Linked DNA regions of Xenopus tropicalis. The protein of the gene in region 1 purifies or fractionates together with the protein of each later gene. This does not show direct contact. Links are inferred from orthologs where the notes say so. Each region holds a gene or a part of one and is shown in the gene's direction. Other genes may lie near its edges. The genes, in order: arhgef26, cask and lin7c.

What was found.
Region 2: the proteins of arhgef26 (region 1) and cask purify together in Homo sapiens (affinity purification with mass spectrometry; 3 studies listed by BioGRID and IntAct, with this or other methods). This does not show direct contact. The link is inferred for Xenopus tropicalis from reciprocal best matches to the Homo sapiens genes ARHGEF26 and CASK.
Region 3: the proteins of arhgef26 (region 1) and lin7c purify together in Homo sapiens (affinity purification with mass spectrometry; 3 studies listed by BioGRID and IntAct, counting the BioPlex papers as one, with this or other methods). This does not show direct contact. The link is inferred for Xenopus tropicalis from reciprocal best matches to the Homo sapiens genes ARHGEF26 and LIN7C.

What each region holds. Positions count from the first base shown.
Region 1 is NC_030681.2:116,988,023-116,995,147, reverse strand, and holds part of arhgef26 (rho guanine nucleotide exchange factor 26), read left to right. Parts: intron 1-2,171; coding exon 2,172-2,324; intron 2,325-3,863; coding exon 3,864-3,993; intron 3,994-5,345; coding exon 5,346-5,420; intron 5,421-6,991; coding exon 6,992-7,081; intron 7,082-7,125. UniProt on the Homo sapiens protein: Activates RhoG GTPase by promoting the exchange of GDP by GTP. Required for the formation of membrane ruffles during macropinocytosis. Required for the formation of cup-like structures during trans-endothelial migration of leukocytes.
Region 2 is NC_030678.2:56,649,476-56,656,339, forward strand, and holds the end of cask (peripheral plasma membrane protein CASK), read left to right. Parts: intron 1-3,075; coding exon 3,076-3,252; 3' UTR 3,253-4,384; downstream 4,385-6,864. UniProt on the Homo sapiens protein: Multidomain scaffolding Mg(2+)-independent protein kinase that catalyzes the phosphotransfer from ATP to proteins such as NRXN1, and plays a role in synaptic transmembrane protein anchoring and ion channel trafficking.
Region 3 is NC_030680.2:21,043,230-21,050,354, forward strand, and holds the end of lin7c (protein lin-7 homolog C), read left to right. Parts: intron 1-2,042; coding exon 2,043-2,161; intron 2,162-3,194; coding exon 3,195-3,266; intron 3,267-3,611; coding exon 3,612-3,821; intron 3,822-4,268; coding exon 4,269-4,424; 3' UTR 4,425-6,493; downstream 6,494-7,125. UniProt on the Homo sapiens protein: Plays a role in establishing and maintaining the asymmetric distribution of channels and receptors at the plasma membrane of polarized cells.

The sequences.
Region 1 (7,125 bases):
TTCCTTTGTATGAGATAAAATTTTGTCAACGTAATGATAGTTTAGATTTTTCAGAAAAGTTAAATAATATTAAATAAATAATATTAAATTCCCAATAAATTCGGACCCTTATAAAGTGAACCACTTGGAAGCAGACACCCAACGTTGGGATTAGTAAGTCAGTATGTGAAGTGATTTTGTTTAATAATAAATATGTTAGACCTTATGTCCTAGGCAAAGCAACCCACATTGGATGTACAGAGGTTACACCAATGTGAAGCCTTAAAGTGCTCTGTGCAAAAATCCCGTAGAATCTTACCCATGTGCTTCAATTTACTTGTTTTTAAGTTAATTGCCTCAAAAGGGAGGGTCCTGTTTATAACATTCCACCACCTGTCCCTCCCAGACTTAAAGAAGCTGTATACATACCAATAAAACCTTGTTTTTGGCCCTACCTTGAAAATGAAATCCTAGTACACTTTCTCCTGATTATATATGTAAATGGAATGGTCCTCCCAAAATATACTTATTATTCTCATAAATTATTGTCTAGGCGAAACAAAATTGGGTGCAGATTTAACAGATTCACATTCAGTCACCTAAATGGAATAAAGTGCAACTAAACATATATCCTATTCCATAGATAGAGAGTATAGCACTTATGTTTGTAATGAATATAAGTTATTAATAACATAAAATGACAAGGAGCAATAGGAGTTATCCTGCCTGTGTTACCAAAGAGCATCTTGAGCAACAAGAGATCAAACAGAAACAATAACACACAGACTTTTATCTTAGTTTGGTCTTGGGAAATGACATGTATGAGTTTTTATGACAATTATAAACTTCATCTGACAAATTCAATTATTCCATCTGCCATGTTGCCCAGTCAGTCTAACTTTATAAGCCTCAGATCTGAGTATATTTTGCTTCACAGGACGCTTTGTACACGTATTTGCCAATTCCTAGTTGGACTTCAAAATGAATACGGAAGGAACACTTGGCTGCTTAGACATCTCTGGCCATCTCTCTTAATATCTCTGGCCAAGTGGGGAATTATTAGTCACCTGGTATTTAAAGGAAACCATAGGAAAGTAGGAAACATAAAGATTAAGTGGGACTGGTCAGTATAACAATAGGTGATATTCTGAATGCATAGCTAACATTTCAGGCACTATAGAAATGCCCATTAACTCACCATCAAATACTGAGCCCATACTATACAAAGTGACAAAGTTACATCCTAGTGACTTAAAATTGACTTTGGGAGGTTATGTCCTCTTGAATACCTGAGTTGGTGTCTCAGCTGATACTCACTGGTGTCTCTGTTCCTGTATGCTCAAGTTACTCACAATTTGAGTGACTTTAACAAAATTATCCATTTGATCACAACCTTATACAGTAGAGAGTCATAAAGACTTGCATATTGTAAGGTTTGATATTTTGTGGTCTTAAAGATGATAAACTAAAGATTTGTTTTATCAATAGATGTAACATTATAAGGACTAAAACTGACATTCAGAATGTGGACTAAACCTTGTCATCCAGGATTATCCAGAGCACTAGCTTCTTCTCAGTGGTTTACCATAAAGTATAAATGAGTCTAACATTACTTTATATAGTTCTACATGATATAATATTCCTAACAACAAAACATTCCTTATATATAACACAAACCTAATTCTTATAATTCCTTTTATACTCCATTTAGTATATTTATAAATAAGCTTTAATGTGAAAAATATCTTAATTTTAGATGGTTATCTTTTTTTTTTTTCAATAAGTATTTTTAAATGTCCTTTGGAACCTCCAAAAAGACCAAAAGAACTTAATGTTCTGCAAATGCTGCCTGTGCTGTGCCTCAGAGCTGCTCCTATTACTCAACATCATAGTTACGATGGGGATTAGCATGAATAAACATTGTGCTTGGCAACCAGCGACATAGCTGTAATATAATATCTTGCTTCTTCCTTTTTATTATTATTTGAATAATTGTGCCAGGTATCAGACATTCATCTTCCGCTGCATGGAAAATAGACCATTAAGTGTCAAGTACAGGTGCTTTCATTTAACTTGTAATTAGTGACTTTAAGCTGTAAGGCCTGTAAATAAAATAGCATTACCCAATTTCCTAACTCCTCCTCCTCTATGTTCTCCTTAACAATAACTTAGAGTTTTGTTTTGTTGTACAGGTTTTTTAAAGAGCTGGAAGGAAGACATCAAAGGAACATTCTTATAGAAGACATTAGTGATATTGTTGAAAAGCATGCCAAGGCAACATTCGATCCCTACGTGAAGTATTGCACTAATGAAGTCTACCAGCAAAGGACGCTGCAGAGATTAATGTATGAGGACGTGGCAGTAGATCTATAACTTTCCTCATTATTTTATTGGTTGTTTTTGTTGGGGGTGGGAGGTTTTCACCGCTCCATGCAGTTATGTAGTGTTTTATTTTCCTATATCCTGAGCAGTCTATCATTTTCTGCCTGGGCAGATTAAAGCAGGCGTAACAAATATAACATGCTGTTTATACTAAGGGGAATTTTTTGTTAATGTTTATGTCCTTGATTTTATGATCAAATGTCCAAATGTATCTAAAACAGAGGGTCTTGGCAGGAGGCTCAGGCTGTAGAACAGGTTGTGTAAGATTTGGGGACTCTGTCTGTTTGCTCTTCTAGATGCCTCTAAAAGCTCCACAGTTAGGGTGAAAAATTTATTGTTGTCCTAGAACTCTTGGAACTTGGGAACTACAGAAAGACACTGATATTTTTCTTTAGAACCATATTATTAGCTAAAGTGGCTCATAACCAAAGGCTTTAGACTTTAGACAGTCTGCCAACTGTTCTACCAACTGTCTATATTTTAAATGTTAAAGGAGAACTCTGGCTTCAGACCCAAAATTTGTTAAAGAGCCCTGCACAACACAGAAACCCCTAATATACTGTAATAGGTATATCATCGTTTGAAACAGTGATGCACTGAATCCATTATTTTTGGTATCAGGCAAACCCCAAATCCTTTGTGAAAGATTCAGCTGAATACCGAACCAACTCCGAATCCTAATTTGCATGCCCAAATAAGGCTAAGGAAGGGTTAAGTAGAAGCACGCCTAATTTTTTCTTTAATTTCTGTGTTCTCATGACCAAAAGTCATGTGATTTTAAGGATTCGGTTTGACCAGACACCTGGATTCGGCAAATCTTCACTGAATCTTCACTGAATCTTCACTGAATCCCAAACCGAATCCTGGATTCAGTACATGCCTAATTCGAAATTCTGCCATGGGAGGAGGGACTAAAACACTGATGTTACAAATCCTAACACATTTTCCGCAGCTTACAGGCATCATGTAGGAACTACATACCCCACAATGCACTGCACTGCAATATTCCTTTCCTTATTGACATTAAGGGTTATATTTATCATGCTGTGTAAAAAGTAGAGTGAAGCATTACCGGTGATGTTGCCGAGGGCAACCAATCAGCAATTAGATTTCAACAATTAGAAAATAAAGCAAAACATCTGATGCTGCTATGGGCAACATCACTGGTGTTGTTTTACTCCACTTTTTACACTGCATGATCAATATACCCCTAAGTGTGCAGGGAATTGGGGGATTTAGAGGATGCAGGCTGAGGATAGTCGACTGGTGTAACAGCCAGATCTGCAGAACTGGGGGCAGGGCTTAGGTAACCGTTCCAAACCATATTATTAAATGAAAAATCATGAAAAGGCTGCAAATTTTTTAACTGATGTATATTGCAAAGTTGCCTAAAATTATGTTTGCTCTTCAAAAAGCTTAAGTTGTTTTTGGGTGGAGTTCCCCTTTAATGTTTTTGTTTGTCTCAAAATAGTTCACTAATGATATTTATCTTGCTAATACAGATTGACCAATTCATCTTTCAAAGAAGCGCTGTCTAAAATTGAATCGCATGAAGAGTGCAGGAATCTTCCAATGATCTCTTTCCTTATCCTTCCTATGCAGAGAGTGACTCGCCTTCCTCTCCTCATGGATGTAAGCATTTCAAAGATACATTACATTTCATGTAGAGGCACATTATTGTGAACAAATGAGTAACTCACGGAGTGCAGGCACAAACAACCGCTGATAGTGTAATATTGAATTAATCCCACAAGATAAATATAAAAACCCGCTCTGCAAATTGATGAATTCCTGGCATAGTATTCATGTGCTCTGTAGTCTGAGAGGCTATCTCTGCTTATGTAGATCTACTGATGCATTCAATCATTATCTTTATATTTAAAAAATAGCACACAAAGTTCATATCATAAAATCAATCTAAAAATTCCACAGCCTATCCTTTATATTGTGCAACTGTTCAAACTTTAATACATTATTAGAATTATTCAAGCACAAGTGTCTCAGAAGCATTCTGATAACCACATAGTAACATGAATCTACACAGTAACATAGTCATTTAGATTAAAAAAAGGCACTCTTATGTTGAGTTCAGCCTTTAAAATGAAACCTACCTCAAGCAGTTCATCTAGAGTGCAGAGTTTGTTAGTTTAGCAGAGTGTATTCCATTGTGGCCATAAGAGATTCCCGCAAGCTGGTAATGACTGTAATCATAAAAGAGGGTATATGGTAGACGACTTGGTCTACCAGTTAAAAGAGCATTTAACAGAGACAGGCAGGAAGTTGTTATCAACACCTGGAATGGGCTGTAATAAAAAAGCAGGTTTTGTAGTTGATATATTCATTTAATTATTGCTTGGTGTTTCAGATCACTTTGGTTACAATTCTCTTGCTGGCGACACTGTAAATGTTAAGATCTTCTAAAGAGCTAGAGACTGATCCTATATAAAAACAGACTTTGATGCTCTAGTGTCCAAACTGCCATACATCATTAGGGCTCTGGCACACGGGGAGATTAGTGAAATCGCGCCGCCGCGTATGCCATCCCACCGTCGATTTACATTTTTGCCGGTGGGATGGCAATCCGGGGAGGTTAGTCGCCCGCGAACAGGGAGTTTTGTTGCGGGTGACTAATCTCCCCGTGTGCCAGAGCCCTAACAGTAGCAATATGTTATCAACCCTGCTTTCTACTCTGTCTACAGGGACTCCAACGACCTTGCCCAAAGTGTCATTTTTGCATTTCCTTTGTACCATATTCTATTAGACTGAAAGACTAATCATCAGAGTTTGAAATAAATAATAATGCCTTACATTTTATGGTCATGAAGTTGGCTAGAATTATTCCAGTCTGTTACTCTAGTTCCTCAACGTTTAACAAGGGCAAACTATAATAGTTTTCTGTTAAAGATCTTGTAATTTGAATTTGCTTATTTTTAGCTGAGCACGTAGAGAATGCAGAATGTAACACTAAGAATATTTCATTCCAGACAATATGTCAGAAAACCCCAAAAGAGTCTGCTAAGTATGAGGCAAGTAAGCATGCTCTAAAAGAAGTTGGGAAGGTAAGTGCCAAAGTTCTTAATTGTTTGTAAGAATATCGGTAGAATTTCAATTGTTGCATTCTAGTGCCCAGTAAGACATACATTTATTTAAACCTATACTTGGCTTGTATCCAAATGCCGACCTTTCCATAAACATTAATGGATATGTTAGTATGTAGTGCAGAGATGTTATACTGCAAGCTAAGGGGCCCATTTACTAAACAATTTTCAGATAAATTCATATTTTTTCTAAATTATGAACATTTTGGAGTGTACACGAAAATTTCCTTAAAATTCCACAAGTTTTTTGTGGTTTTTGGTAAATTTCCACAAAAAAAACGTACTTTGCGCAAAGAATATGAACATTTCGGAATTCGTTAACGCTTTGGTTACACTTTCATCGGGACTATATTTTTGACAGGTTTGATCTGTCGAGTGCCACTGAGCCAGAACTGTTTTCGTGGCGTTTATGAACTTTTCAGAACACAATATTTTCGTACAAATGATGAAAGCATTGTCGAGACATTTTAGAACTACAGAAATTATCGTGGTTACTTCAAATTTATACCATATAGTGTTTCAAGGCCTGAAACAAATCTTTAAATGGGCCCCTAAGTGTGCCTTTACATGGTGTAAATGAGTTCATGTATAACGACTAGCAATTGCTCTGTTAGACATAAAAGTGAATATTTTATAGTAATATTATGAATCAGGCTGTCCATATGCTTTGGAAAATTACATTTATCAGCTCTTCTCTATAGTATTTGCATGTCTGTAGTTGTAGCTTAGTTACAACTTGGATACTTTTAATCAGTGTCTGCCTTATATGTGGGTTACAGTATATGCACCAAGTCCAAATTTTAAACATGTTAAGACTTATCACCACCCAAGGGTATTGTACATACCATCCAGTGGTGTACTATGTCTTTTTAGACCAAAGAAGTTTTAAGGATTTATATTCTGAGGCCTGCAGGTACTTGGACTACACCATTTTGCTTGCTGTTACTAAATCCAGGCAGTTTTCTTAGTTATTGAATTCCTTACCTTTTCGTGAGACCTTGGTTGTGTATTTACATGCCTTCATGTAATTCATTTTCAGCTATGTGATTAAATCGATACTGTAGTCTCTGAGAAATTACCCTTACAGTGTTAGAGTCCTAGGTTCACTTTCTGCAAGGAGTTTGTATGTTCTGCCTGTGCCTGTGTGTGTGTGGTTTTCTTTTTGATACTTCCATTTCATCTCACGCTCGAAAAATACATGGACAGATTGAAAGTGAAATATCCTGTAGTGTGCATTGGTGTGTGAATGAAGAACAATTTCTCTATAGCCCTTAATACTGCTGAGTGATGTCAGGAGATCTACATTCAAGTCACTGGGGAGGCTGCTTCATTCTGTTTGGGGCTACAAAAAAAAAATAATAATAAAGACTCTGGGTTATTTATAAATATTGGGTACATTTGCACATGGGCAGTAACCCATAGCAACCAATTAATGATTGTATTTTTCAGTCAACTTCAGGCTGAACAAAAAAAACAAAAATGTGATATATGTTTATGATAATTACATCTGTATTACCTTTGCTTATTACTAGCTGGTCCGTCTGTGCAATGAAGGAGCAAGGAAAATGGAGAGGATGGAAATGATGGTTACAATCAATTCTCAGCTGGAATTTAAGATTAAGGTATTGTCCAATTTTAATTGTTCATATGTAAAGTACTGCATGCA
Region 2 (6,864 bases), on another chromosome or scaffold:
TTTTGTATTCTGTAAGACTGTACAGCGCTGCGTACCCTTGTGGCGCTTTATAAATAAAGTTATACATACATACATACATACATGTACCTTGTTGTACTAATGCAGTCGTTAGCCTCTTCCTGCTTGAGTTAAATGGACATTTAGGTTTCATTTAGCTTTTTTTTTACCATGCCTTTCTCCATTGCTTTAATAGGAAAGAAGGAAGCCTTATAAAAGCCAATCGGTGGCAGCCCTTACTAGCCTCCATGGATTGCTTTATACTATCCCCAATACATCTTCAGTCCATTAAGGGAACATTTATGATTGCTTGAACCTTTTGGCTTGAGCAATCAAGGGAAACCCTGTGTGAGTTGAGGGTTTCAGGGGAAAATACCTTAAGGTGGCCACACACGTGGCGATCTGCAATCCGATTCAGCCCTGATGGCAGATTTTGCTCAGGCGCCTTCTATGGCGCCCGATCAAAATCTTTTGACCTGGCCGATCGGCGAGTCGACCGATATGAGCAGCCTCCTGCGATACCAGTCAACTCGCCGACTTGCCATACACACACCGAATATCGTACGAAACGAGGTTTCGTACGATATTATCGGTGCGTGTATGGCCAGCTTTAGTTAGTTGAGGTTAAATAATAAATGCCTGAAACTTTTTATTATTTAAGAAAGCCCACTTAGGGGAAAAAAAAAGCTCAACCAACAAATCATTTTTACCTGAAACCCTATGTGAGTTCCTTTGATTGCTCTAGCCAAAATGCTTAGGCAATCATAAATGTGCCCTTAAGTCACACACACTCCTTCATAAGCTACTGAGACTTTAGTAATTAGCATAAATTAAGGAGCCTTCATTAGCTTTATCCATCCATAGATCGTGAACCTGAACTGATTACCTAATATCTAATGTAATCCAGTTAGAAGCATGCTGCAGAATGTGTTGGCTGGAAGATGTTTTTTACATTATAGCTAAAAAGTTGTGCAGCATGTGGCTTTAAAGGAACAGTAACACCAAAAAATAAAAGTACTTTAAAGTAATAAAAATGCACTGTTGCCCTGCACTGGTAAAACTGGTGTGTTTGCTACAGTAACACTACTATAATTTATATAATAAGCTGCTGTGTAGCCACGGGGGCAGCCATTCAAGCTGGAAAAAAGGAGAAAAGGCACAGGTTACATAGCAGATAACAGATAAGTTCTGTAGAATACAATAGTGTTTTATCTGTTATCTGCTATGTGCCTGTGCCTTTTCTCCTTCAAATGGCTGCCCCCATACTACACAGCAGCTTATTTATATAAATTATAGTAGACTTTCTGAAGTAAACGCACAACTTTTATCAGTGCAGGGCAGCAGCACATTATATTTTAGTTACTTTTATACACTTTAAATTTTTGGTGTTACTGTTCCTTTAATACAGACAGATAACACTTGCAGCATTTTATTCAGAGTCCTACCGGTTGTGCCAATCATGCTCTTGATGTACTGTCCTGGGTTAACATGTACTGGGGCCATATATCCTAAATCCCGGGTGATTAGTTAATTTGCAGAAACAAGTTACCACTGGGTTTCACTGCAGCCATGCTGTATGCAGCAAAATACATTATTAGCCAGGCAGCGTTGATTTGGATTCATATGTTTCTGGCTTTACAGAATGAGGCAACAACCTTAATCCACTGCATCTTTAAGTGATTCAGTAGGTTGGAGAACCTATCAAACAATATCTTTATTCTGTTAGTTTTATACTCAGCAGAGGAGCGGGTAGAGAGTGAGACTTTTGGTTTTACAAAGAAAAAAATCACATTGTACAAGGTGTTGTGTCAAATTCGATCTTTCTATGAAAAAAGTCAGACCCTTAAGGTGGGCATATACTGTGCAGTAGTACCATTGTAATGTTCTGTTCCTTTGGTACAACCACCTGGCAATTTGGAAGAGCAGGAAATGTGTAGGGAGAGCTGTATCTTTTCTCTTCCTGTCAACTGACTGAAGGAAATCTCTAATTGGCCACACAACTTGAAATACATGCCCAGTAAACTCGAAGAAAGGAATGCCCACTTAGAAACAACTAGGCTATGATTTGGTGCCTTACAGCATGAAATACGTAAGACTTTTATGGACATGTAAACGTTAATATATATGTTTTATTTGACCTGAGCCTGTCACGTTGGATCTTTGAGTGCCTGCTCATCTTCTGTATATGCATGCCCAACTGGTCGGGCAGTACTGATATGTGGGTTGACTATTTGTCGACCTGCAACAGACCCTAACCTGCCCCACTTCCACCCATGCCCGAACTGGCCCTCAGCTTTGCATCTATTTTTACGGACCTGGACTCGACCTGACATCACTGAGGGGATGGGGCAGGCAAGTGCTTATAAATAGCTAACACCAGACCTGCGCACACCTGTGACCCACAAGTTGGGTGGGTTTGAAATTGGCCAAAACGCTATACTAAATATGGGCATGATGTGCCTTCTGAGCACCAGAAATTAAGGTTGTGTTGCTCTCCATATAATGGATTTTTTTTTTGCTTTGTAACAATAGTTAATAAAGCAAAGTATCAGAAGTTGGTTGTTTGTGTAGCAGAGGGTTAACAATAGTGTTTTCTTCCTCACTGTCTAATGGTAGTTGTTTGTTTTATAACATGGTTCTGTATAAAAGTATATTGTTTATTTGATAAAGGAAAAGGATTCTGTTTGAAAAGCTCATGTAGAATCTAGGCCATTTGAAGCTTAGTACAGGTATGGCATCTGTTATCTGAAATGCTTGGGACATTGGGTTTTCTAAATTATGAATCATTTCGTAACTTGGATCAACATGATAGGATTCCTTTCACTGCAACAGAACCCCTTTAAGTCTGCTTAAAAACCATTAAACATGAAATAAACCAAAGAAGCCACCAATATGGATTCATGCAGTTTAGGTACATCAAGTACAAGGTACTGTTTTATTACTATAGGGAAAAAGGAAATCATTTTAAAAAATTAAAATTATTTGCTTAAAATGACATCACGGATTTCTAGATAACCGATCCCATACCTGTACTAAATATTGAGATTTTTTTTCTCACTTTTTAATATTACTTTGCAGGATGAGTCTCTTCAGCGCCTGCAGAAGGAATCGGAAATCCTCCAGAGAACATACGCACACTACTTCGATCTTACGATTATCAACAATGAGATTGACGAAACGATTAGGCACCTGGAGGACGCCATCGAGCTTGTGTGCACAGCACCGCAATGGGTTCCCGTATCCTGGGTCTATTAGACCACTCTCAAGATAACTGTCAGCATTTTATTACTTCAGACCACCTTGTGCAGTACTTGGAGAAACCTCTCGTTGACTTTTTCAACCATTCTTGGCCCCTAGAGACTACCTATATGTAGTGTGGCATAAATTTATAATTATCGTCATGTCCTATTAGATGGAAAAGAAACCTAAGCAAATTTTAATGCTAATTTAAAGAGACAGTATCTTTTTTACCTTTTGATTTATCCTAGATTGTATTAAAATAACATTTTTGAAATATATGCATTAATCAATTGTTTGGAATGTTATATTTTTGGAAACCATTGGGTTTTTTTTTTTTGTTTCAAAGGCCTCTGAAAACTGCACAAAATGATATGCTGCTTTCTATTATCTATTTTAATAATGTAAACATTTGAGTTTTTCTTTTACCAGGGGTGTCACACTACATTCTTCTGAGAGTCTTAGGTCAAAAATCAGATTAGCAAAGGCACTATTTAATTTATTGGAATAATATAGCCTGCATCTATTAAAGTGTGAATTTCCATGTCACAATGCCCTTTTTATTTTAGATGGAAAAAAACCCTTTACTGCATACCGCTTTTATTTGATACTGTCTCTTTGAAGAAATCTGTAAACTATTAGAGATATGAAATCGGGTCTTAATGCATGTGGACAGTCGCAAGCGTTTATACTGTTGGTGTATCTGTGTTGAACAAAGCTGTAACCTACTTACAGAAACATACATTCCGTTCATGGGAAGTCGTACCCCAAGGGAACTGAATACAATGAATATAACCAAGTTGTAAACCTATGCACATCCCTTGCATTTTGGGCAACTTTATAAGAAAAAAAACAGAGAGAAATGATTTTTATTATTAATCATGTAGTGAAATGTGTTTGTAACTTTGTCTCAATTTAATTTGTTGTAAACAGGAGGGTAATGACTGATTCTTTTGCCATTTCAGATCCGTGTTTGTCTGAGAGTATTAACGTTTTAATTCAGTTGAAACAGAGAAATGCTCTTTGTTTTTTGTTTTTAATGCGTATCTAATTGTGACAAAATGCACAAGTTTTCCGAATGTGCGCAAGGCGGTTGGGGATTCCTATCAAGTAAATATCCCATAGGTTCTATTTAATGAAGAAAAAAAAAGAAAAAAAAAAAGCCCTGTAAATTCTTCAGAAAAAAATGAAAAATGATTATAGTCTGACCAATATTTTATTATTTTTTTTAAATATACTTCCTTTTATGTGTTCCATAATAAAAATGCCTTTGGGTCATTCATTATTCATCAACATGGCTGGGAAATAAACCTGTCTTAATTCTGGTAATGCGTTGGATGATTGTATAGTTAGTCTAGTGATTGCATAGTGTGTTTGCTCCGAGGAAGCCGCCGTCGCTAGGCAAGACTTCTCTCTTCCATTTGCTCAATACAATCATTGAAATATGAAGCACAAGTGTATATGTTTAGGCACAATGAGATGAACTGCAGCTGTGAATGAAACTCAATTTCATACTTTTGAGCGATTTAAAGAAAATCTCTACAGTCAATAATATGTAGTAAATAAAGGGTTAGTTTTATTTATATTCTTTCAAGGCTAAGACAAGTCAATTTTTAAACCACATTTATATGGGGTCTTCCGGTAATCACTTTCTGACTGAGCTATACGTCAGTATATTCTCTTCATATGAAGGTTTTATCCATATTACTGTATTCTCTCTCTTTATTGGTAAGGGCAGTGTCCATGGCCAAACAGAATTATATCTAAGGACCAAGTATAGGTGAGAAAATGTGTTTTATTTTGTTTGCCTACCAATGCCGATGCTTCTGTTCATGTGAAACTGGTACTGTATAACTGTGCCGTTGCCCAGTGTGTTTGCCTAAAGCTTCTTCCAAATGGTACGGTCTAAAGTTCTTTCTTTTTAAGAGATCAAGTCCTGTTGAATGTGGTTTTTTATCTTCTGGCCATACTGTGTTACACACCAATTGTGATTGTCTTCATTAAACACTTGGGAATTTTTTTTTTTTTTATAATGTCTTACTGAAAACACCACATTTAACTGGGGTAACCATTCATTTAGGGGTTTGCTAGAATGAGTCTCCTGCGAGACCTGTTTGACATAGGAAACATATCAATAACATTATCTAATATCAAAGCCTCTCCTCCGCAATGATTTTATAACTGTGTCGCAAGGAGACACTACTGGTGCTAGAGAAAATATATATATATATATTTCATGCTTTTGCTCAGTAGGTTTGTTTTTAATACATCGATATCTTCCAAACCCAGGGAAGTCCAGCCTGCCACCCATAGCTGTTACTAAGAACTGCAGTTCAGCAGTAGCTGGAGATTGGACGGCCCTCTTCTGACCTACGTCTGGTTTTATTGTTTTAAAATGTTGCCAAGAAAATGTTTCCAGTGCCTGTTTATAATCCTATAACATAGACTTTATATCCATGTTAATTATTTCAAATGTACGATCATAGCATTTCACTAGCCGTCGCTTCCACATACCTTTGTTTTATTGCATGTTGGGAAATCTGTCATCGCTTTGATCGTAGCCAAGACAAAGGGCTATATGTCATTTAATTGTGCATATAAATGAAAGATTAATTGAACATCAGCCCTTCTGCCATAACAAATTAACGTGTGGTCCAGTTCGTTCTTTCAACTTCCACACCAGTAATTTCTGGAAGTAAACTGTGAACATGGGTGGCATTATTTTTATTGAATACCAGTTGTTTTGTGAAAAGTATGTACATCTGACTAAAGCATATGGGTAACAAATATCTTAATCCGTTCTAGAAGTCTCAACTGTACATAATGAATTATAAAGGAAGAAACAGACACTGTTACTTTGTAAAATTGGTTAATTGGCATTAAACCAGGTAAAATATCGTTGTAAAATGTTATCCCTGTGTGCAGTTTTCTGTGCAGCGTTGTCATTTCATTAAAAAAATGTATGTGCACATAAAATAAAAAGCCCAGCTAGTGTATGTATTTTATATGTATATCATTCTATACATTTATCTACTGAGAACCCTCCCCCCCCCCCACAAAGAATAAGTTTGAATGCTGACCATTATGACGGAATCCCAGCCATATAGCTAATAAGTTCAATAAACACACTACAGTCCTCCTCTCCCATCAGACAATGAAGTGGTATAGCAATAGGGTACTCTGCATAAGTTCTTACATAGTTTCACATTGTTTTTAACTCACACTAATACATGGAAAGTACCTTTTATTGGCTAATTTAGTTGACTCTAAAATGCAAGATTAACTTAGATCCCTTCTTGAGAACTGGCAGAAGGTTGGATTACAAAGAGTGGTGGAAAATAGAACATTTTCTAATTGGGCCAGTGTTATCAGTGGAGTACCGCAGGGGTCAGTCCTTTGCCTTTTAGCTTGTTTATTAATGACCTGGAGTTGGGCATAGAAAATACTCTTTCTATTTCTACTGATGATACTAAATTGTGCTAAACACAGTATGCTGCATCACAGAACGATTTGATAAAATTGGAAATCTGGGCAGGAAAATGAGGTTTATTGCAAAGTTATGCACTTTGATAGAAATAATATAAATGCAAGTTATACACTAAGGGGCTGATTTACGAAGACACAAATTTG
Region 3 (7,125 bases), on another chromosome or scaffold:
AGAGTGCCATTGAGCCCTATGGGGAAGACTTCCTTGGGCCAGGTTGGAGCTGCAGAGTGCCATTGAGCCCTATGGGAGACTTTCCTTGGGCCAGGTTGGAGCTGCAGAGTGCCATTGAGCCCTATGGGAGACTTTCCTTGGGCCGGGTTGGAGCTGCAGAGTGCATTGAGCCTATGGGAGACTTTCCTTGGGCCGGGTGGAGCTGCAGAGTGCCATTGAGCCCTATGGGAGACTTTCCTTGGCCTGGAGCTGCAGAGTGCCATTGAGCCCTATGGGAGACTTTCCTTGGGCCAGGTTGGAGCTGCAGAATGCCATTGAGCCCTATACTTTCCTTGGGCAGGGTTGGAGCTGCAGGGTGCCATTGAGCCCTATCTTTCTTGGGCCAGGTTGGAGCTGCAGAGTGCCATTGAGCCCTATGGGAGACTTTCCTTGGGCCGGGTTGGAGCTGCAGAGTGCCATTGAGCCCTATGGGAGGCTTTCCTTGGCCAGGTTGGAGCTTTCCTTGGGAGCTGCAGAGTGCCATTGAGCCCTATGGGAGGCTTTCCTTGGGCCGGTTGGAGCTGCAGAGTGCCATTGAGCCCTATGGGAGGCTTTCCTTGGGCCGGGTTGGAGCTGCAGAGTGCCATTGAGCCCTATGGGAGACTTTCCTTGGGCCGGGTTGGAGCTGCAGAGTGCCATTGAGCCCTATGGGAGACTTTCCTTGGGCCGGGTTGGAGCTGCAGAGTGCCATTGAGCCCTATGGGAGACTTTCCTTGGGCCGGGTTGGAGCTGCAGAGTGCCATTGAGCCCTATGGGAGACTTTCCTTGGGCCGGGTTGGAGCTGCAGAGTGCCATTGAGCCCTATGGGAGACTTTCCTTGGGCCGGGTTGGAGCTGCAGAGTGCCATTGAGCCCTATGGGAGACTTTCCTTGGGCCGGGTTGGAGCTGCAGAGTGCCATTGAGCCCTATGGGAGACTTTCCTTGGGCCGGGTTGGAGCTGCAGAGTGCCATTGAGCCCTATGGGAGACTTTCCTTGGGCCAGGTTGGAGCTGCAGTGCCATTGAGCCCTATGGGAGACTTTCCTTGGGCCGGGTTGGAGCTGCAGTGCCATTGAGCCCTATGGGAGACTTTCCTTGGGCCGGGTTGGAGCTGCAGAGTGCCATTGAGCCCTATGGGAGACTTTCCTTGGGCCGGGTTGGAGCTGCAGAGTGCCATTGAGCCCTATGGGAGACTTTCCTTGGGCCAGGTTGGAGCTGCAGAGTGCCATTGAGCCCTATGGGAGACTTTCCTTGGGCCGGGTTGGAGCTGCAGAGTGCCATTGAGCCCTATGGGAGACTTCCAAAATCATATATTGAAGTTTCAAAGCCAGTTTACGATCGTTCAGAAGAGGGATGTGGGGTCGGTAGATAAATTCTCCGACTCCTCAGTTTCTGATACTTCCGACTCTGACTCCTCTGTTTTTAATATGTAAAAAAAATATGTATTTTATACATTCATAGAGGCAATGAAAAGCTTCATGGTCACTCAACGTGTTCGTTTATGCACTGCGTGCATTGGGCTTTATTCTTATAGCAGAGAAGTAATTAATTATTACTGTTTGTGAATTGGGACATTTAAACTTGCTTTATTTTTTATTCCCATTTAAATTTAGTCGGAGTCGGTTCATTTTTTTCCGACTCCAGGTACCCAAAATTGCCTCCGACTCCACAGCCCTGGTTCAGAAAGGAAAATTTCAGATCACAACCACAATATTTTCATACGAGAGGAGTGGTTTGGAACGAGGGACTGGAATATGAATAGTAGGGGGAATGAACAGAAACCTGAATAATAAAACAGTAACAATAAAACTGTAGCCTCACAGAGGGTCAGCGACCCCCATTTTAAATCTGCAAACACTTGGAAGAAGGAGGCAAATAATTCAAAAACTATAACAAATAAATAAATGGCTATTCCAGTTAATGAATGTATATGAGAAGGTTACATATGCCAACTCCTGTATTTGGCTTTACATCCCCTTTAAATTCTCGTGTGAAATAACAGTATGTTTTCCTTCATGTTTCCAGATGTGCACAGGGCCATCGAGCTGCTGGAGAAGCTACAGAGGAGCGGGGAGGTGCCGCCACACAAGCTGCACGCGCTACAGAGAGTCCTACAGAGTGACTTCTGCACCGCCGTCAGGGAGGTACGCACCATTCCCCCTAGGTCCCCCTAGAGTGCAAGCTCTCCAGCCCTGCTGTAGCAATGTGGGGCTATACACAAACATCACCCCTTGACTCTAAGGGTGAAGACACACAGAGCTACTAGTAGCAGCTACTTATCGTGGCTACTAAAATAGACAATGCTGATCTTTTACTGATAATTGTCTCTACATTGGGAGGGGATTTTCTGGTGTTTAGTAGCCATGAAAAGCTGCTACTAGTAGCTCCGTGTGTCTTCACCCTAATTGTTTTCCTGCATCCAGCGACACCCCACTTAGGCTGCCTGTGTGTGAGCACAGCTGGGAGCCCCCCTTCATGCTGGATATTTTGGGCTTAAAGGACAATAAAACCCTCTGACCTGTGCCTTAAATGTGCTGTGTATTATAGTACTACTACGCATCTGTCTTTTAGCCTATTCAGCGAATCACAGTAAAGGGCTGCTGTACGCTCTATTTTTCTGCTGCATTGTGCGCAATACAAGGGGTGTCTGTAGGGGGAGTACTTCTGTGCTATCCCTCAGCACAGGCTATGAGCTCAGTTTACTGCTTGCCCCTTGATGGCTTTTTGTCATGTAGTTATGTGCAAACTGTGCAACCTGTGGGTGTGGCCTAGGTCAGGTGGGTTAAGTCTGGGCGACCATTGCGGGTTCGGGATGGGTGTGGGTTAGACTATGGAAGTGCACTGTTCCCCTGATCCTGAAGTAGAGCATAGAGACGCAGGTTACAGGTTGGGTGCGGGTCCTACAATGGCAGCATTTTGCACGTTAGGGTCCGGTGCAGGTTGAGTTTTCCCTGATCACTGTGATGCTTCACTAAGGCTATAGGTGTTTTTTAAAGGGACAGTTGACCTTGAAACCCAGTGATCCCTTTAACCGTAGGATTTCTGGTGGCCAGAGTTCCAGGCCTGACTCATTAGGAAGCCTATGAAGTCACATTGCTGCCTGCGTTCACCTCTACATGTGAAACAGCCCCAACAGCAACTGTTGCATCTGACAGAGTCTTCATTTAACTTTTTCAGGTTTATGAACATGTTTATGAAACGGTGGATATCAGCAGCAGCCCAGAAGTGAGAGCTAATGCCACGGCGAAGGTGAGTAAGGCTTCGTTTCCTGTCTGTCTGTAGCGCCGTGCTTTAGCCACTAGATGGCAGCATGATACCACTGTTTCTTTGCATTACACATATATTGCTGTATTAATCTGGTCTTCATAGAGTTCTTATGTATTGCGTACGGACACACAGTTAGTCTGCATTCAACAGAAGATTTAGTTTAAACAACAGCATTCTAAGCGCGCAATCTTGTGTTTACTTAGACATTTTCTATACATTTAATTTTCAATAAAATTAACTTGTACACACAAACACGTGCGCCTATACATACCTACCGATACACTCGTGTATATATAAAACTATATATCTATACTCCATGTTTTTCAGGCTACTGTGGCTGCCTTTGCTGCAAGTGAAGGCCATTCCCACCCCCGAGTGGTGGAGCTCCCCAAAACAGAAGAGGGCCTTGGATTCAACATAATGGGGGGAAAAGAGCAGAACTCCCCCATCTACATCTCTCGTATTATTCCTGGTGGGATTGCAGACCGTCATGGAGGACTCAAGCGTGGGGACCAGCTGCTTTCTGTTAATGGCGTGGTATGAACATACCTCCTATGCTCGTATATTTCAAGCACTTCTAGGAATAGGCTGTAGCTAATAGGACATATGCTGCAAGCAAGGGGGGTAAATAGGGAAAATAATCATACTTGTACCCATTACACGTTATGAGCTGCTCCTGCTATTGAAAGTTCCATTCATCTAGCCACACCCCCAGGCAGGCCCAGACTAGCAATCTGTGGGTTCTGGCAAATGCCAAAGGGGCTGCTGTAAGATGCCATAGACAGTCACTATTTATTGGCCTGGTGGGGGGGGCTGTTTGGGCCTCTGTACTTGAAATGCCAGGGCCTATTTTGACTCCTAGTCCAGACCTGCCCCCAGTTACATGATTCAGGGCCCAGTGATGTCATAATTCCGCATTTAACCCCTGTTAGCCCAGAGCTCTGCTTGCGTTGCTGAATTACATTTGTGTTTCTGCTTTCACAGAGCGTGGAGGGCGAGCACCACGAGAAAGCCGTGGAACTTCTGAAAGCCGCTCAAGGGAAGGTGAAGCTGGTGGTCCGATACACGCCGAGGGTCCTGGAAGAGATGGAGTCCCGGTTCGAGAAAATGCGATCGGCCAAGCGCCGGCAGCAGAACTAGGCAAATGTGTCGGTAGACACAAGACACAAACTCTGAATTCCACTATCCAATAAATTTGTATTGACGTGAGAGGTACCGAGGCGCTGCTCCTTCCAGGCCCACCCTGTGCAGGTCTGCAGCCCCCCCCCCCCCCCCACCCACCACCACCACTACCAGAGCAACTGGTGCTTCTCGTTTTGCACACGGAGTCTCAATACCCAACCAGTCTTTCTAACGTAACGTTTACAGGGCAGTTTTTACTTACCCTCCTTTTTTTAAACCTCAAGAGAATTTTAAAACATTTTTAATACAGTGGCGTAATCCTAGGTTTGTAACGGCAATCTTTGTACTATTGCGATCCTCCATTGTCCTGTGCTTATCTGTATGGTGCAAGGGGCTCACGTCCCTCAGCGGGGGGTCTGTCTATAAGTGGGTGCAGGTTAGTAGCTGGGCAGATACTATAGCGCATCACATTTGTGATGTAAAGTGCAATGTTCTCATTAAGATTGTCTTGTTAATTGAATTGTCACAGACCTGCGTAATGTGAATCTGAGCAACCGAAACCCAAAATATATCCTGTAGAATCATTAGCCTGTCTGTCTTAAGCAAAAATGTGGGCAGCTTGAAAACACGCACACAGAAAGTTCTTTCTGCTTTGACTGCAGATACTGTTGGCGCCACTGGGTGGCAGTATAACGACAGCGAAATACACTACAATGTCTTAGCCCCAGGGATCTGCATTTGTATGGGAAATGTTTTGTTAGAAAATGCTGCAGTCCCTTTCCTTTCCTCTAGAGGGCAGTGTTTGTTTAGCTTTATTCTTTTTAACATTATAATTCACAATAGATTTAAGGCTAGAAAAGGCCCTATTGAGGGGGATTTGATTATTTAATAACCTGGTTGTGTGTATACGTTCATGAAGCTATCCCTAAAGCAGCTTTTAAATAGCAAATATATTGTGTTTATGGTGTGTTTATATGGCATTTATGTTACTTGTTTTGTCTATTTGCATCTGTTCAGAATGCGGGAGATGCTGTTTTGCTTCCCTGTCCCCAAAAGCATTTTTCATTGCTCGGTAGAGTGGCGACATAGCTTGGCCAGGGCAGTTTGCCTCTAGCCCTTGGGCTTATTGCCCTCACTCCAGTTACCATACACCATATAGACTGAGGAATGGGCAAGCTCAGAACAGTACACAGTAGTAGTAGTAGTTCACCTTTAAAGTAACTTTACAATTGGTCTTCTTTATTTTTTTTTAATTCAATTATTTGCGTTCCTAGTCTGTTTCGTTCCAGCTTTCAAATGGGGGTCACTGACCCCGGCAGCCAAAACACTATTGCTCTGTGATCTCATAATTTTATTGCTATTTATTTTTATTACTTATCTTTCTATTCAGGTCCCCTCCTATTCTTAGTCCGGTCTCACTACTGTCTGGTTGCTGGGGTAAATAAGACCCTAGCAACCAGATAGCACTTGAAATACCAAACTGGAGAGCTGCTGAACAAAAAGCTAAATAACTAAAAAAAAAAAAAAAAACTATGACATAAACAAAGACCAGCTGCAAATGGTCTTAGCATATCAATGTCTACATGAAACCAAAAGTTAATTTAAAGGTGAACAAGCCCTTTACCAGCAGTTGTACTGAGCATTACTGAAAGGCAAGGAATATGGCAGTCTCCTATGGGTACGACAAGACAACTTCTCAGGATGGAGAGAGTAGGTTGCAACCGTAGGTACTAGACTTTTTAAGGGCTTCTATTTTATTTATTTTTTTTTTAAGGACTGGTAACAGCAAAAAAGGGGCTTGATATTTGGTGTTACTTACCCTTTAATGCTGTGGCTTGTGACATATTCCCTTTCCCAGGCAGCCGGATGATATAGAAACTTCCCTTTATCTGGTCACGTGGCGGCTGCAATAAACACCGGGCAAAGTACTTTCTTTCTAAAGTGGGGTGAGTGGCGCTGAGCTCGGCCAGACGTCTGCCCGTGTGTTTGCCGCCAACTGATTAGAATCTTCTCGTAATCAATGAAACTCCATTCAGGCACTTGGCTAGATCCATTCGGGGTTTGATTGCATCAGCCCGTGTAAATGATGTAAACAGATTGAAGAGACAGCTGTTAGGGTGAAGACACACAGAGCTACTTAGTAGCAGCTACTTGTCATGGCTACTAAACCCCAGAAAATGCCCTGCCATAGACAATACTGAGACTTGCCTCTGCTAAAACACACACTGAGACAATTATCAGTAAATGATCTGCATTGTCTATTTTAGTAGCCACAACAAGTAGCTGCTGCTAGTAGCTCTGTGTGTCTTTACCCTAAGGGCTCTGGCACACGGGGAGATTAGTCGCCCGTGACAAATCTCCTGTGTCTCTGGCGACTAATCTCCCCTTCCTCTCGAGGCAACTTAAGCGATTTCACTGAAATCGCGCCGCCGCGTATGCCATCCCACCGGCGATTTACATTTTCGCCGGTGGGATGGTGGCAATCCGGGGAGATTAGTCGCCCGCGAACAGGGAGTTTTGTCGCGGGCGACTAATCTCCCCGTGTGCCAGAGCCCTAAAGCCATGGCAAGTAGCTGCTACTAGTAAAGAGATTTTACTTTTAAATATCATGAAATGCTGAGAGTTGTAGTCCAAAAGCAACTAGAGTGGTGCAGGTTGTAGATCTTACAAAATAAAGTTGTGTTATATTGAGGGCTGTGTTGTGGCCATAACTGTTCCT